2 linked regions of the Schizosaccharomyces pombe genome follow. The protein of the gene in region 2 interacts with the protein of the main gene of each other region in a pairwise test. Each region holds a gene or a part of one and is shown on either strand. Other genes may lie near its edges.

Region 1 (8,819 bases), on a different chromosome or scaffold from region 2:
TGTTGTCCATGCAGTTTGGAACTAATTTAACGATATATAGAACTGCGGCGAGATTTCTAGCGACTTACAACATAGCGGTAAGCGGTATGTTAACTAACAATATTATATTTATTGTTATAAGAAGTCTGTTAGTATCGGTCACCGATATAGCTCATAACTGAACTGTGAAACGAGGTTCAGTAGAAGCTCTATTTACAATCTTACTAATAGTTTTTATCAACGGGTATCTATAATACAATGTAGAGCTTGTGACATATAGAAATACGCAACATGGTGTATCATAGAGTAGTCCAGTATTGCTGTCATTCCTAACAGTCGTTTACTCGTTACGACTTTCATGCTCTCTCTTGTGCTGAAGGCTTGTTTTCTGCTCTATTTTTCATTCAAGACGCTGAAAAGCGAATAGATAGAATGCGATTTAGTTTAAGAGATTTTCGCGGTTCAGGAAAGAAGTTTTCAACATTTTGCAATAGGAATGAATCAGTTCCCAAGTTGAAAGTCATTGGTTTCATTAACTGAGCGTCTCATTTGCAGATATTTCGTTGAATGTCAAAAAGGAAAGAATTAAAGCGATAATTAGTATGCTTTAAAATCCCTCCAATATTTGCAATTAGGAAAATTTTGCCTTAAACTGAATTTCGTACTTTCTACTGCTGCTATAAATGATTATGATCTTTCTGTCTAAAACAACAGGTGCTTGTTTACTGACGCTATACATATCGAGCTTACTTATACATATATTAAGACTTAGGTAAACCGTTTATTTTCACAGCGTCTAAACTGTTTAACGAAATATAGATTTTTAAAGATAAAGCTAGCGAAAAAGGAAAACAGTATAATAATAATAATGAATTATAAGCGGCCATTATCCGAAATGAAATATGAAAATGCAACAAAATAACAGAAAAAAAGAGATGATGAATATAAATACAAAATCGTAAGAGAAGAAAACAGAAGTATGCAAAAATGAGAAATTTAAAGTTGTCGTAAGTAATGGAAAACAGAAAAACAAAAGAAACAAAAAAGCACAGTAACAAAATATTTTAAATTGCCTCGTGCATGACTTAATCTCATCATTTTCATTAATAAAAAGGAAATTCGTGTTAAGACTGCACTAATCTTTTAATTTTTAATTTTTTTTCAATAAACCGAATTTCTTAAGAGAATGCACTTGTGAATATGTAGTATGTATTAAATCCTCATGGGGTATGGGGTAAGATCTGCCTGGAATCCAGCAATGTTATGCCGTAAGTAAAACATTTCTTTTGTTTCCAAGCTATCGAAGCAACCTAGAGGCATGGTAAGATCAAAAAGAGGCTGCATATAACCACTCTTTTTAACATTTTTGAATTCCAATTCTTCGCACACATTAAGGTCCTTTTTGAATTCTTGACGCCATTTTTCCATTACTCGACGCTTGGTGTTCTTTTGAAAAATTTCACAGTCAACCGATCTAGAAAGGAAAGGGCATCTCAGTTCAACAGGCAATACTGTTTCCATCACAGTATTGGCTAGATAATTTTGAATGGGAAACGCACGTGCGTGATTACCTATAGAGAGCATAAACAACAACCATCCAACTTCTTCTTGACTTATCGTTTTGCTTTGGAAAATTGGTTCATTGCTATATTTTGGTAAAGAACTTTTAACACTAACTTCAGGACTCTGCTCCAACTGGATATTGCACATGTAACTTTTGTTGCAAATGGCGGCCCAACTAGTTTGTCCTTGGAATGAATAAACGTCTCCCGGTCGTACCAAGTACATTCTAATATTGCCAATCCGCTTTTGTACGCACCAAAGATGAAATTTCGTGTACTTATTGGAAGTGACCTGCCGGGACACGTAGATGATCATTGCTCTCCATAGGGAGTCCTTCATGTCGTCAGTGTAATAATCGTATAGTAAAACATGTCGAATTAATACTGGCAAGCTATAGTTGCCGGTAGAAAAATGCATCGAAAGGCTTAATCCATCTACTCGATTCTTCTTTAAAAAAGCCCCTAATCGTTTCTGCACCAAAGGCATATCTACTTTGAACTCGTACACCTGTTCCTGCATCGGTGAATATTCAGAAGACACTTGCTCAACACTTTTGAGATATAGTTTATCCTGTCGACGCATAACAATATCCACTAACCCCCCTAAAAACGGATTCTTTATGAGACCTTTATTTCTCCCAGACACTACTACGATACCCAAGCTTTTACCTGTTAAATTCTCGATGGATAGATTACGATCCAACTTGGATAACCAATCCTGACTCGTAACATTAATATTCACATCGCCCGTAGCCTTAGCAGGACTGTTGTACTCGGCTTTGCGAGATTGATAGCCCGGATCCGATTTAAAAAACTGCTGGATTTTCCTTGTAGTCTTTCTCAAGAAAGAGTTTTCCTGACCTTCATCATCAACTTCTCTCAAAATATCCAAACCCGATTGATTAGATATCGACATATTGTCGAATGTCGGTAAAATACTTTGAAACTTTTAAAACTTCGAGAATCGTAGAAAAGAAGAAAAAGGATACCAATATCCAGAATCTCAAAACCACAGTGCGTCCAACTTAAAAATAAAAGGTAATGAAATGAAGTAAAAAAAAAAAATTATTAAAATTTGGTTCTTTCCAAAGGGCTTTGTTTCCTGTTAAATACTAAATATGAAATCGTTTATCTTAGCTTAGCCATTTTGCCATCTTCATCATGCTTTTCCTAACAACGCTCCCCAAGCCACGTAAAACATCAACTTTCGCAACTCGTCCTATTTCAAGTTTACGAAGACATCCAATTTCCTAATCGTCTCTACCCTATAATATTTTGTATAATCATGGTCTAAGCCATTTCATCGTAGCGATGAGCCTCTCGTAAGTTAATTAATGGCGCAGCATATCAATTTTAATCAACTTGTAATAGAATAGAGATGATCATGCTGTCTATTGCTTATAGTTACAAGACTAGATTTCCTTTCTCAACATGCAATAAGGATTGAAAAGTAAAAATGAACTACTTGTATGAAATTTTCGTTTTCGTGCTTAATTCATGATTATGACCTTTTGGAGTCAGTGACATACACCGTTTCCATTGACAGACATTATTGAATTTTTTTTTTACAATGGGGCAACAGTCAATGTTGGCGCAAGCTTAAGATGCAAATGCAATCTTTCATTTAAAAGCGGCTTGTTTCATCAATACATTTGACATTTAACGATGGCTTGTAGGCATTGTTGTAGACATCCACTCAGCCTACATTTTGTCAATACTTTTCTACACAACTTCTCAAACTCGTTCCTTTGTAGCTTAAAAATTAAGCGAACTTAAAAACTATTAAACTTTTTGTTAAACGAATTATTTGCATAAAATACCAAAAAGATTTTTTGTTGACTTTCACCTAACAAATTAAGAGCGGTTGGTTTTATTAAAAAGAAAATTTATTAAGATATTTCTCATTGCATTCCACTTCAATGCGTCGTAGAGCATATCATAAGTAAGGCTCTAAAAATAAGCCACAAACACTGATCGTTCTTCTGGTACAATGGTTCAAATTTTTTTTTTCTAGGAAGCTCGAAAAAGAAAATACAAACAAAAAAAAATTAAACAGCTCATTTCTTCAAAAACTCCTTTTATCCTCAATTTGTTTGAACTTTGTTCTGACAACCCGCTACGAATTGGCTTGGGACCCTGCTGACGGTCGGCCTTTTCCCTATTCTCACCACGAGCACCGTGGGGAAACTGTATAGTCGAAATCTTCGAGTTTTCTTGCTCAACATTTCAAGAAAACTTTTATACTATTCAAGTGTATCTAATTGTTACTTCACTCGTTATTTAGTACTTCTCTTTTACTTTGTCAAGCAGCACAAGTGTTTGATAAAGGTCATTCTGTATAAGGGGTCCTCTGTACCATTACACCTTGTACCTTGATATAAAAGATATTTACATGCATTTTATTTCCGTTAACTCACAGAATATCAGTTGTTTGGTTTTCTTCTTACGTGTGCTGGTTTGACTTGTTGTTTCCCTTTTTTTTTTTAAATTTGCACACACAGGATTCTATGAGAACTTTGCATTAAATGGTATAATGGGAAATGGAATCTAGCCGATTGTTTACACTTGGATTGGGAAATTCCGATGATGGATTGAAATCCACTTTTGGTGATAAAACAGTAACTTGTTTTTATTGCAACAAGAAGAAGGAAAAAATTAGAGACGGAACGTCTACTTGGACTTGCTCAATTTGTGAAGCCACCAACCATATTGATGAGAAAGGTGATATCCTGGATTATCGACCTCCAACCCCAACTCAAGACAAGGGTGTTGGTCCTTTTTACGCGATACGGGATTTCCCAAGCAGTTCTTCCTTTCAGAGCCCCTTTTGTGAAAAATGTCAAATGAACCAACTGATTGTGAATCGGATGCTTGCTGATTATCTGCCAGACTCATCACATCCAGATTATCAGGCTTATGAGAAGGCATTACCAGAGTATAAAAAATCTATAGAAGAGAAATTTCCCATTGTTTGCTCTGAATGCTATGACTCCGTTCAAGACCAACTTGATGCCAATGATTATGAAGCCAAAAATCAGGTTTTAGGATATTGGCTGCAAAAGTCAAAGGAACAGCTAAACGCAAAAGTCCCCCATCACTATCCAAAAGCTTCTTTTGTTCTTTGGTTACTTCGTGGATTTGGTTTTTCGTTTTTCTATTTGCAATCGATTGTGTGGCATTTGTATCATTCTATGATAATAAGCTTATTACCAGATGGTATTCGTAATTTATTTCTAAAAGCAATCTCTTACTTCCTATTAGATGGATCCTCTAGCAAAATTTTTTACTTTAATTGGCTTGGTTTTTTCGTTGTCTTTTGGAACCCGTATTGGTACAAAATGATGGACAATCCATCTTGGGAGCTTTTTGGGCGGGATCAGTATATCCAATGTCAGGCACTTTATCTTATTATCCGTTTAACTTGCTTGTATCTCCTTTCATGTTATGAGTCGGAAATTTTGAACTTAAGCTCGGATACCAATCTTGAAAGTGATTTTTTACTCCGTCAAATACATGCAGCCTTTTTCTTTGTTACCATTTGTTTTACATGGATTAGCATCTCATGTTTAAAGCCAAGTCCTCCTCCAGAAGTTCATTTGACTGGCGAAATTTTGAAACCACGCAAGAAGCGTCAGGAAAGTACATCTTCTGTGCATCGGATAGGAAAGGAATCGAGTGACAGAAAAGATGGAATTAGTGGGCAGAATAAATTGCAGCAATTTGCGACAATTTCAATTCTGAATAATACCAACGCAACGTCTCATTTGGGAAATCAGTCTGTTCGTGAGAGAGCTCCGGAGGAATCCCCTATGACTTTTCTTCAAAAAAAAATGGCCGCCCTTCCAACATCTAGTCCTGTTCGACCGATGCTTAAACCTACTCTTCAGCTTCAAAATTCTCCTTTATCGAAACTGGTTCCTCAAGAAGTGGGCAACAAAGTAAACGATTCTATTCATACGACGTCTAATCAGCCAAGTAAATTTTCCCTGAACCCTTCCATATCTCTAAAAGGTGATAACGTGATAGAGAAGAATTTACCTTTTTCCGTGTCTACTTTAAAGTCCACTGCAAAGAAAGATACTGGTAAAGCAGGGGATGGTCAAAATCGCGAAATTCAAAATGAGCCAGTGAGCCTTGAAAGTCATTTTAGTAAGTCTTTAGCCCTTCAGAACGATCCAACAGAAGTTATTCAGGTGAAAAACGTTCTTCACCGGAATCGTCGAAATGCAAAGCTTCTCATTGCTTTCACAATTTTGTTCCTCGTTGGGTTAATTTGCGGATGGCGTTTGAATCGTTTTACTATGTTCATTTACTATTTATGCATATTGGTGTTAGCCACATATTATGTTATGAAACACAACTTTTATCCTTTAAGAAAGGTGGCTTGATCTGGTTACTATTTAAAGAAGTGGATGCAAAGTAATATGGAATATATTCTTTTGCAAACCAATCATTCATTAATTTATCCAATTTTGGAATAAATTTCGTTACTAATATTGCCAGAGGCGGTTATGTCGCTATCATTTGTTTAAAGTTTTTCAGCTCCTTTCTGGCAACTCGACATATTCGAGCTAGCGCATTCGCACAAATGGGATCCAATATAAATTTACTTTTTTTTTCCTATTAAAGCTATATAATTAAGTATTTTTCATACTAACGAGTTTTATTTGATAAATTTCATTCGTTTCAATAGGTTAGTACTGAAAGAGAACATGTAACCTGAGCAAACTTCTGGTTCATACGAATACTAGCAATGGTGCATTCCCGAATATATGTTAGACACGTCGTTAAATTAGTTTAGGTTATAAAATCGTTAGAGTTAAACAATAACTTAAGAGAAATGAGCCGAGAATACTAGGATATTCAGATTTTCATTACTTTCTAATTCCGCTCAGGATTCTATGTGCAGGTAACATCAGGTGACCGAAGGATTCATTGGCATACTATAGGGCCATGAGATCTTACCTTCTTCCAATATTCAAAACTAAGAGTTTTATTGATTTCAGTGCAAATTTTGTAGTGACGAAATTTTTTTTTGCTGAAGTGATTGTTTAAGTATGAAACCTGTGTCTCTTGCCAAGTATATTCAAAAATCACCATTTTTGACGAAATTGCTTTTACCCATCTCCAATGCCTATGTGCATTTGTCAGGATACCGTAAATATGGTCTTCGATACGACGATTTGATGTTGGAGGAGAATGACGATACTCAAAAGGCGTTATCTCGTTTGCCTAAGATGGAATCCTACGATCGAGTCTATCGTATTCGCCGTGCCATGCAACTTAGCATTGAGAATAAAATTTTGCCAAAATCTGAATGGACAAAGCCTGAGGAGGATTACCATTACCTCAGACCTGTTTTAGCTGAGGTTATCGCGGAGAGGAAAGAGCGTGAGGCCTTCGACGCTCTCATTGTTAAGAAACCCGAGACTCAAGCCCATGCAACATCTTCTCCTGCTCATGCTCATTAAAAGTTTGCATGTCCTCCTTTAATCCACTTATTCCTCTCATGAAAACCGACAAGAAAATTAAAAGAGTAGTAAACGGATGTGAGAATTTTATTTTCTAAGTAACCCCCAACTCCAATTTCTAAAAAGGAAGACAATTTATGCACGTATCTTATTTCATCGGTTATATCAGTCGACAAAGTACGTGGAAACGAAAGTTTTTATATTGCTGTTTATCTGTACTTTGACTTTACTATGTGTGCGATTAATTTTCTACGCCGCTCTGTTTTTGCTTTGCTCTATTTTAACTACTGGTATATCTCCCATCTCTTTGACCTCTCCTCTCTATGCTTTCAGTTTTCATATTTTAATTGAACAACGATTTTTTCTTATTTTTTATTTTTTGTAGCTGCTTTTTCCTTGACTGTTATCTTTGAAAGAGAAACAATTTTTTTGTTTCTTAGTTTCGCTTTCTGAAGATGATTTTGCAATTATTCTCTCGCTGAATCAATTATAGCTAATGGTTGGTATAACATAAGTTAGTGAACAAAACATTGTAAGGCAAACCAACTAATGTAGTATTTTTTTTAAATCGTGATATCAAATTTTAAACTTGTTAAACAGACAAACTTATTTTGAGAAATTTTATGACAGTTTGGCATTGTATTTATTGATTTAATTAAGCTTACTCCTATTTGACTTTAGGCATACTCTTCCTTGTACGACTTCAAGCTCATGAGCTTTTCACTATCTGAAATGTTGTACCCAGAGTCATAATATATGAACCTCCGATCGACGTAAAGTATTATTGAATTTAATTTTATTTATTTCCGCGTTTGTTTAACTTGTTTGAGGAACTTGAAAAATTACAAGAAAATCATGTACAATTTTGTTCGAAATATTTATTGAATATGCAGGGGAAAATCAATTATAAAGACATTACTCAGAAAGAAATGTTCAATGAAATATTTAAAGAATATGTTAAGGAAGAGAAGCAGATCGATTTGGGTACTTGTGATCAAGATTCTGTACACGACCTCTGGCGACGCTTTGTAAAAAGATGGAATGATGGAAAAATGAAAAGTAAATGGTATTCGTTGGGAAAGAGAATATCTCAACCCTCTTATGCTCGTCTTGTAGGTCCAAGTCGACCAACTTTGGAAAATTTACAAGATCGACGAGAATTGCAGGAGCAATTAAACGAGTTGAGAAAGCTATCCCGAAAATCAGCTTTTAAATCGCAAGCTAAAAGGGAGACAGAATTGTTGGATGAAATTCTTCCAAAAGAACCAGCAGGAAGCAAAGAAGCTATGCAACAGAAAAAGAAGGAAAAACGAGCTGCTTTGAAGCATTATCGCGAAGCATCTGACAATGAAGAAGACTTGAAAGAAACCGACTTATACGGAGACCGGGACTCATTTCAGTCCCGATTGAAGCAAAAAAAACAACGGTCAGAATTCAGGGCTTCAAAACGAGAAATGGAAAGACTTGAGCGCGACCAAGAGCTTCGAAATAAAATTGAGGAAAGAAATAAAAAAGAGTTAGAAACAATTGAAAAGCTACGAGAGTTAGCCAAGGCTAGGTTGCAAGGTTTTTCTAGTTGATCATTTTAGCAATTACGCCGACATTTATAAAACCAAAGAAGTGTGCAACTATTCATTATGATTAGAGCTTTTTAACTATGAGTCAAACATAATGAGTATTTAATTTCTCTCAACTTAAGATGTATATGACTTTATATTAAAAATTCACAAATTTAATCAAAGTATAAAAAATGAAAAGCGTTTTAGAGTTGTTCGATTAAATATTTTAACTATAACCAAAAAGAAGT
Region 2 (8,151 bases):
CATATATTTCGACACGAGGTAAAAATGGACCAGTAGCTGCAGACTCTAAAATATACCTAATGTCACTCTCAGGTTGAATTATTTCCTGATAAACAACAATCTGATCAGCCAGCAATTTCATGGAAGGCAAAAAGTTCGAAATAATTGTTGATAAATCCATAAAAAAATCTTTATAATAAAGAACGCGATCGGTTTCACATTTTTGAAGAAATTGCAAATGATCAGCAATAGTTTCTTCCACAAGTGTGCGGCATTTATCAAGATCAACGACTGATTCGCTGTAAATTTTATTTGCATCCAGAACTTCTCTTTTAAGACGTTGAGATTGAGTTTCTGAAGAGTAAAGCTTTCGATGACTTATATAATCAGAAAGATATTCACCAACTAATGGTAAAGCCTTGGCGTTTTCGACAAGACTATCTACACTATTCAGTCCTGCAAACTGGAAAGCCTTGTCTTTCCACTGATAATGGAAGTTGGTACTATTCACAAAACTACCTCCAACGCCCATATGACGCAAAAATCCTTGAGCTATCAAATCTTGTCCAAATGCCTCGGCTGCAACTAAAGTTGGAACAGGAAGATTTTCCTGAAGCCAAGAAACAATAATATTTCCTGAACATGTATTAGGGTAAGTACCTAAGATAGGGACGCGATAATCCTGTAAGGGTATTTCTTGTAATACTTGAGCCAAAACCTCTTTTAACTCCTCAGGCCTAAACTCCATAAAACCAAGTTGAATCAGATCATCATCATTTTCCAACAATGATTGCTGCTGTGGACTAGAAACTGTTGTTAAGTCAGTAATAGCCTCACTAGTAGTTTCATTGGACTCCTTTGATTCTTCTTCATAATCTTCAAGGTTTCTACATTTGTTGTAGTAAGCGCTTTTTGTTTTTTTAAGTGTATAGTATTTCTTTTCATAACTCTTTATTTGATTGGTAAGAACTTGTTGGCTGGTTTGTAACTTCTGAGAATGATCAATAGACATTTTAGAGAAAGGAGCAATAATTAGCGTTTCTAAGTCCTTGGCAATACGAATATGTTGCTTTCCTTGATTAGCAATCTCGGAGCGCAACCCTTCAAAAGCCTTGTTAGAAGTAGCACCGTCTTCTGTATTCTCTGGCTTTTTCCCTTTTAGACATTCTTTCGTTATTTCTTGAAGCTTTTCACCAAATTCCTCATTCGCTTCTTTATATAACTTCAACAAGTTTTTTACTATTCGTTGTTAGAGGAAGTCCTATATTAATTTATTTAAATACCTTGCTCATTCTCTTCAACTCCATTATCCAGGCAATCGAAAAGTTTTTTCACACCAGTCGCGTAGTCTTTACTCCAAAAACCATTTGAAAAGCTCGATATCATTTCAATTCGAGACTGAAACTGTCACAACCTGTCAAGAAATATAGAGGTGGTTGACATGTCTACGCCCTTTATTACTCAACTTAAGTAAATAGCGAATTGCTACGCAGAAAAGTTTTACCCATCAAGGATGCCAAAAGTATCCAGTAAATAAGACAACAGATACGTTACTTGACACACATAAGATAGCATACCACTAATCCTTTATAAAATGTAAACTTCATTCAGTTGAATAGCAGCCTACGCTTTTACCCACTTTGTATTATTAATGCTATGGTTGGATCGATGGTACAATTAAAAACTACAAAATTTTAATTAATAGCTTACTGAGAAACCTTGCGTTTGCACGATGAGGTTTTGAAAAGAGAGAGTAGCGTACTTTATTGTTATAATGCCTACATGAAAACGAAAGAGAGCGTCCCGACGTTATTAAAACTATAATATCGTAAAAATGTATCACTAATGATGACAGGGTAGTTTTCATATCGATTTAGTGCGAGGATAAGGAAGTTTGAAATTGCATAATACATTCTTTTGACATTTGAAATGCTACCAAATAGTCATTTAAAACGCTAAAATATTTACAATTTCATAAAACAATAAAGCACTTAAAATTTAAAATGTCTAGCAAATTTCATGGTTATTCGTTACTCGTCAGATAAAACAAAAACGTTTAACACGGGCATGAAAAGAGAAAGGCGGAACCAAAGTTAGAAACCAATACCATAAGCGTATTGCAAATGCATTCAAATTAGGGGAAATTCCCTTAATTACGACGCTTCCAAGCAATTTTAACAGGACCCAAGGGAAGAGCAACCATACTGGAATAGTCAACGTTGGGAACTTTTCCAATAAGAGTCCAGGTGTAATCGTGTACAAACTTGCTAATAATAGTGCTCAAATGCATGTAGGCAAATTGCTCACCAATGCAACGATGACGACCAGCTCCAAAGGGTAGGTATGGAGAAGCAGCACCCTTTGTAACGAGACCATAACCATAATCAATTTGCTCAGCATTTTCGTCTTCATTGACGCGGTCATTCCAGCGCTTGGGGTCAAAGTCAGTAGCATGAGTGAAGTATTCCTCTTCAGTAGCAGTTAAACCGGGAGCAGCAAGAAGATAGTTGTTGGCAGGGATAACAATCTTTGAACCAGGGACGGGTAAGTCACGTTTGACTTTACGCATATGACTGTGGATAGGGGGATGGAGTCTAAGAGTTTCTTGAATAACATAGTTGAGAAGAGGCATGTCCTTATATTGGTCAAACTTCAATTCCAAGTTTTCACCTACAACACGCTTCTGCTCTTCCCACAACATTTCAATGATTTCAGGTTTGCTACCCAAAAGAGCAAGAACCCAAACGATAGTGGCAGCAGAGGTGTGTTGACCAGCCATCAAAAGTGCAATCATCATACCAGCAATTTCATGTTCCTTCAAAGGACGGCCATCTCTATACTTGCAGCTCATCAAAGTCCAAATCATATCAGTACCAGGATTTTCAGTGCTAGAGCGACGATCTTTAATAATTTTAAGATAAGTTTTTTGCATAATTTTGTGGGCTCTATCACGGCGTCTGTTTCTAGGGAGAGGTAACCAAGGGAAAACAAAGTTAACAGGGCTAAATCCTTGATCAAGGTCATGGTACAAGTCAGCGAAACCAGCGTCAAAGCCCTTGCGAACCTCAGCACCTTGTAAAGTACGAGAAGCAGTGTAAATAGTCATGACAGGCATGGTCTTCAGCAAATCAGCAACGCCTTCCTTACCAGGTCCGAAGTCAGGAGAAGTGCTGAGAAAAGCATCCATTTCGTTAAGAATGAGGGGGACATAAGAGCGGAATTGAGAGAAGCCAAGACCAGATTTGATAAACTTCTTGTGCTCCATAAAAACATGGTTGGGAATATCGTAAACGACATCTTTACCGAATACAGGGGTAGTTAAATGAGAGTAAGCTTCTTCAGCATTCAAATCAGCTAATTTACCGTTAAAGAGGAAATCATTACCTTGGACACCAAGGAAAGCGGTCATTTTACGACCCATGCAAACAAAGGTGAAAACATCACCATATTTGGCACGACACTCGCGAAAAAATACATAAGGGTCCATACCGTATGCGACAGCAGAACCTACAAAGGGTATCCAATGGAAGACAATTGGGGGGCGTTTGCTATTGCGAGAGGTAAGTTGGTTAATAATATAACCAACATACCAAGCCAATGCAATCGATAATAAAATCGAAACTAAAGAGAATGCCATCCTGACTTATGAAAAAAAAAGTAATGCTCAAGTGGGTAAAGCAGGTAAAAAATAATCAGACGAAAAAAATAAAATCAGTCAGTAAAGTAGTAAGGGGTAAGCAGATAGCAACCAAAAACGAATAAGACCAACCAAAAAACAACGACAACAACAACAAATGTGTAACAGATAAAAATAGTTCAACCCTTTGAGCTAATGCAAATAAACTTGAAAAAGAAAAGGAGAAAGAAAAAATGAATTGATTAACACGCAGCTACGAGAACAACGAATGAAACAAATAGAAAAAAGCGTTAAAAACGAAATCGAAAACAGACAATAATATGAAAGAAAAACAAAAAAAAATTACGTTTCCTTTCACTTAACGAATGAGATTGGGATTTTGAAAAGACAATTTTCAAAAACAACGATCGATACAGAAATTTTAGATCTTGTCTTTTTTAAGGTACTTCTACAAGTGAAGAATCGATTTATCTTCTCTTTGACACCAAATACGCTGGTTTCGACGACGATTCAAGCTAACTTGGGTCTCGCGCTGACTGATGGGAGTTGGTAGAATTATATATGCAACATAATGGCCGTGTAACCGTTTGTTTATGCTGAAAATCCGTAAAAAAACATGCTACTTGATCACTTCAAAATTACACTTTTTTATCCAATCATATTTTTCAGATACTACCTTATTGTTCTTTCTGGTCAAGGTGAATTAGCCACTAAGCCAATGAGAAATCCAATTTTGTTACCTGAGAATAGGGCGACATCGTACGATTCGAGGGTTTGTGAGGTGAATGACTGCGGGGCTTATGTTGCGATCGAACGATGGCACGTCCATTGGACCGAGATAATACACATGTTTACCGTAGCTCGTAACGCACATTTAACAAACTACTTGCTTCTACCCTACTTTATCACCTAAAAATAAAAATGTGTCAACATGTGCACGTCTACTATACCTTCTACTATTTGTTCGGTAAACCACCAACCGTGCCTCCTTATACGTCTTCTCCAAACATGTAATTGGATTCGAACAACTTTAGCTCGACAAGTCGTTTAGCTTACGAACATCCAAAAGCTTATCTAATGACCTAACTAACTCGCTCTTTTTGGTCGCATGACTTTGCATACGATTGTTTAGTAATAAAAACAATAATCCTTTTCACACCTGTTTTTACCCATGGGAAAGCGGTTCCCAAAGTTTGTCACTTACTCCCATATTCTAATCTAGATTAAAACACATTTAGCTGCGAACATGGCACACCGGTTAATACCCAGCCATAGTTGAAATTAGTAGACAAATTGACTGAGTATCTCTTATCAAAAGTCAATACACATTTTGTTTGCGCTGACATTAAACATCGTTGCTCTTATGAATGCTATGTGTGTGTGTGTGTGTATGTGGAAATGTGTTAGTCAGTCAGTGTTTGCTTGAAATTCGCTGTGTGAAAATAATAAAGTGAAAAATAAATAAAAGGTTGTAAAACCGAATTCGTACAGTAAGGTGAGCGCCGACAAAAGCTCTTGAGAAAAAAAAAATCATGCTGCTATCAGTATTCGAGTCTTTTCGATTTCGTGGCAAAAGGAAGTTTTCCTCACATGTTTTTGTGCGACAATAGCCAACCCCATTCACTTAATTCCTTAATTTCCTCAAGGGTCAAAAAGATTAGGATAGCTGAATAACGTTTTGCATTGCATTATGTTGCAATACGATAGTAAGACATTATAGGGTATATATCATAGTTGGAAAGTGCGGATGTGCATTTTAGCAGACTACGTTATCATTCAGTAAATGTTTGGGATCTAAACTCTCATTTCTCCAAAAGATTAGAAAGCATCTACTTCTTGCATCACAACAAACTTTTAAACTCCATATTTGTTCAAACTAATTAATAAATTTTTAAACAATGCCTCCCAAGGGACTATCGCTTGCAGAGAAAAGAAGAAGATTAGAGGCCATTTTCCATGACTCTGTAAGTTCGTGATATGATTGTTCAAGTGCCAAAACATGATTTTTGCCCATTCGTGTCTCACTTTCCACATTGCTAATCTATGTTTTTTTTATAGAAAGATTTTTTTCAACTAAAGGAGGTGGAAAAGCTGGGCTCTAAAAAGCAAATCGTTTTGCAAACTGTAAAGGACGTTTTACAGTCTCTCGTTGACGACAATATCGTCAAAACGGAAAAGATTGGCACTAGCAATTACTACTGGTCTTTTCCCTCCGATGCTAAACGTTCAAGAGAGTCAGTTCTCGGATCTCTTCAAGCTCAACTTGATGATTTGAAACAAAAATCTAAAACTTTAGATGAAAACATTAGTTTCGAGAAATCCAAAAGGGATAACGAAGGAACCGAAAATGATGCCAATCAATACACTTTGGAACTGCTACATGCAAAAGAATCAGAACTAAAACTTCTTAAAACACAACTTTCAAATTTAAATCACTGTAATCCTGAAACCTTTGAATTAAAAAATGAGAATACTAAAAAGTACATGGAAGCTGCCAATTTGTGGACCGATCAAATCCATACTTTGATAGCTTTTTGTCGAGACATGGGTGCCGATACCAATCAAATTCGTGAGTATTGCAGCATTCCAGAGGATTTGGACGATCTGCAACTACCGATTTTGTGAACTTGACATGCTTCCTTAATTCAAAGAGTTGTTTTCCTTATTAATATTTTAAAATTTTATACATTTTAACAGTTACATATAAAATAGCTTACTCGACGACAAGACTTAGCTTTTAAAAGATAAAATTATAATTAGTTGGAATAATATTAAACGAAACAAAACAAAAGTCCAAATTCCTCAAACTTATAGTATTTGTTAACTTTGAAAGAAAAAAAGCATGTTTCTTTTTTTATAGTTTTAACTTTTTTTATAAATTTACGTAAGGTCATTAATTAAAATGCGACTGTTGTAACGGTTCCAAATCCAATGCCATTTCTGGCCTCAACAATATGAAATCTAAAAGCTTCTTCATGAGTTAGATTATCGAAGTGATGATGTTTCATAACCACATAAATAAGGAACCTTTGAGTCAATTACTTTACATGGTTCATAATGATTGTTCATGAACGGATATCTGATCGCATAATCTAACTCAATTTTCCGTTTTAACAGTCATTTCATCACTGTATAGGATTTGACGCTCATGGTAAAATAATAGGTAACTATAATCTGGTTAGTATGTAAAAAAATAACAGCAAAGAGCCTACGCTTGAGAATTTAAGACCTCCGATTCCTTTACTTCCACAATTGTGGTGTCATCCAGCAAAAACCACTACAAAAATTAGTAAAAATTTCCATAAAAAATTCAAAAAAAATTTAATATACTTGATTTTGGTAGTATGTATAGGCAATATAGTGCCCTGTGTCGAGAGTTCCTTTATGACACACAACTGAGTATAATTGATAATCCACATCATCTTGATTAAAGTTGTAGCGCATTCTTAAAAATGCTGGATAAGATACTTGCTTATCTATTTTAGTTGACATGGCAAAGTTATTTTGTTCAAATCGTTTCAATTGCATGCAAATAGTTGGAGGTAGTTTGTCAAAGACCAATTGTTTAATAGCATTTTTTGACCCGCAACTATGACAGCTATATTGAACTTTCTCTTTGGAAACAAACCTAAAATAATATTTGTTAAAAAATCTAAAAACGAGCAAATTTTACCTTTCCAAACATCCTTGAAGTGTTGGCTCATTGATGTCTAAACTAATGTCCATCAAAGGATCCACAGCCACCCGCTCCTTCTTGCAATCTAGGCATGTAACAACGTTTTTCAGAGATCCACTAAAAATACGATGAATAGGACAAGTGCACGGCATTGATGTTCCTCCTCCGCTTTCCGTATGCATTTGGTCCAGCAAGTATACAAAAAATTCGTGGCCATCTTGCTGGGAGTAACCACATAAAGATTTGCTGAGTTTCCACATAAGATTTAAGACAGCAGTGGGACCGTAAAAAGTAGATTTGTTTTTAGAATTATAAATAGATGAAAACATATCGTCAATGGCACAAGTCATGCAAGTAGGTCGCTTACAATCAGTAGAAGTATGAAACCCACTGAAAAACAAGTTTCGAACCAATGGATTATGCAAAATACTTTGTAAAATGACGCTCATGAAACAAGTAGCACCCAAGTTCTGGATCCCCCTCAAGCCTGCTGTTGCGCAAACTGGAGGGTATTTTCGATAGGCTTCTAAGCAAACCATTTGATTGTACTTCTCGGGAAGTCTCTTGTGATCACTTTGCCATGCCTTGATATTCTTGATCTTAAAACGAAGGGTTTCCAACTCGGTCTGATAAACGTAGTCTTGACAGCCAAAGCAGTAGGTATGGCCATTTTTTACATCCACGCCTAAGAATTAGTAATTGGTATTCGGGAATTGCATCCTAACTCGATATTCGCAAAAAGGTTTCGTTGCTAAATCAATAGCTATGTTTTCAACTAAACGTACCGATCATATGAGTGTGCTCCATTGCGTGTTCTTCACCATGATGTCCCCAAAGACATCCCACAGAATGACAACTC

Evidence for each region.
Region 1: the proteins of erg11 (region 2) and ima1 interact in a protein complementation assay, tested with the Schizosaccharomyces pombe proteins (one large-scale study listed by BioGRID).

The regions. Positions count from the first base shown.
Region 1 is NC_003421.2:1,885,735-1,894,553, reverse strand, and holds ima1 (inner nuclear membrane protein Ima1), read left to right. Parts: upstream 1-3,689; 5' UTR 3,690-4,081; coding exon 4,082-5,929; 3' UTR 5,930-6,451; downstream 6,452-8,819. Other genes in the region: SPOM_SPCC737.04 (uncharacterized protein), read right to left, coding at 1,192-2,457; qcr7 (ubiquinol-cytochrome-c reductase complex subunit 6), read left to right, coding at 6,599-7,012; SPOM_SPCC297.06C (uncharacterized protein), read left to right, coding at 7,900-8,592. UniProt on the Schizosaccharomyces pombe protein: Inner nuclear membrane protein that specifically binds to heterochromatic regions and promotes the tethering of centromeric DNA to the SUN-KASH complex.
Region 2 is NC_003424.3:573,007-581,157, forward strand, and holds erg11 (sterol 14-demethylase), read right to left. Parts: upstream 4,148-8,151; 5' UTR 3,617-4,147; coding exon 2,129-3,616; 3' UTR 1,646-2,128; downstream 1-1,645. Other genes in the region: putatiRho-type GTPase-activating protein Rga8, read right to left, coding at 1-1,218, 1,263-1,365; protein Mcp7, read left to right, coding at 5,515-5,580, 5,675-6,241; SAGA complex ubiquitin Ubp8, read right to left, coding at 6,714-6,783, 6,829-6,893, 6,947-7,244, 7,290-7,977, 8,078-8,151. UniProt on the Schizosaccharomyces pombe protein: Sterol 14alpha-demethylase that plays a critical role in the third module of ergosterol biosynthesis pathway, being ergosterol the major sterol component in fungal membranes that participates in a variety of functions.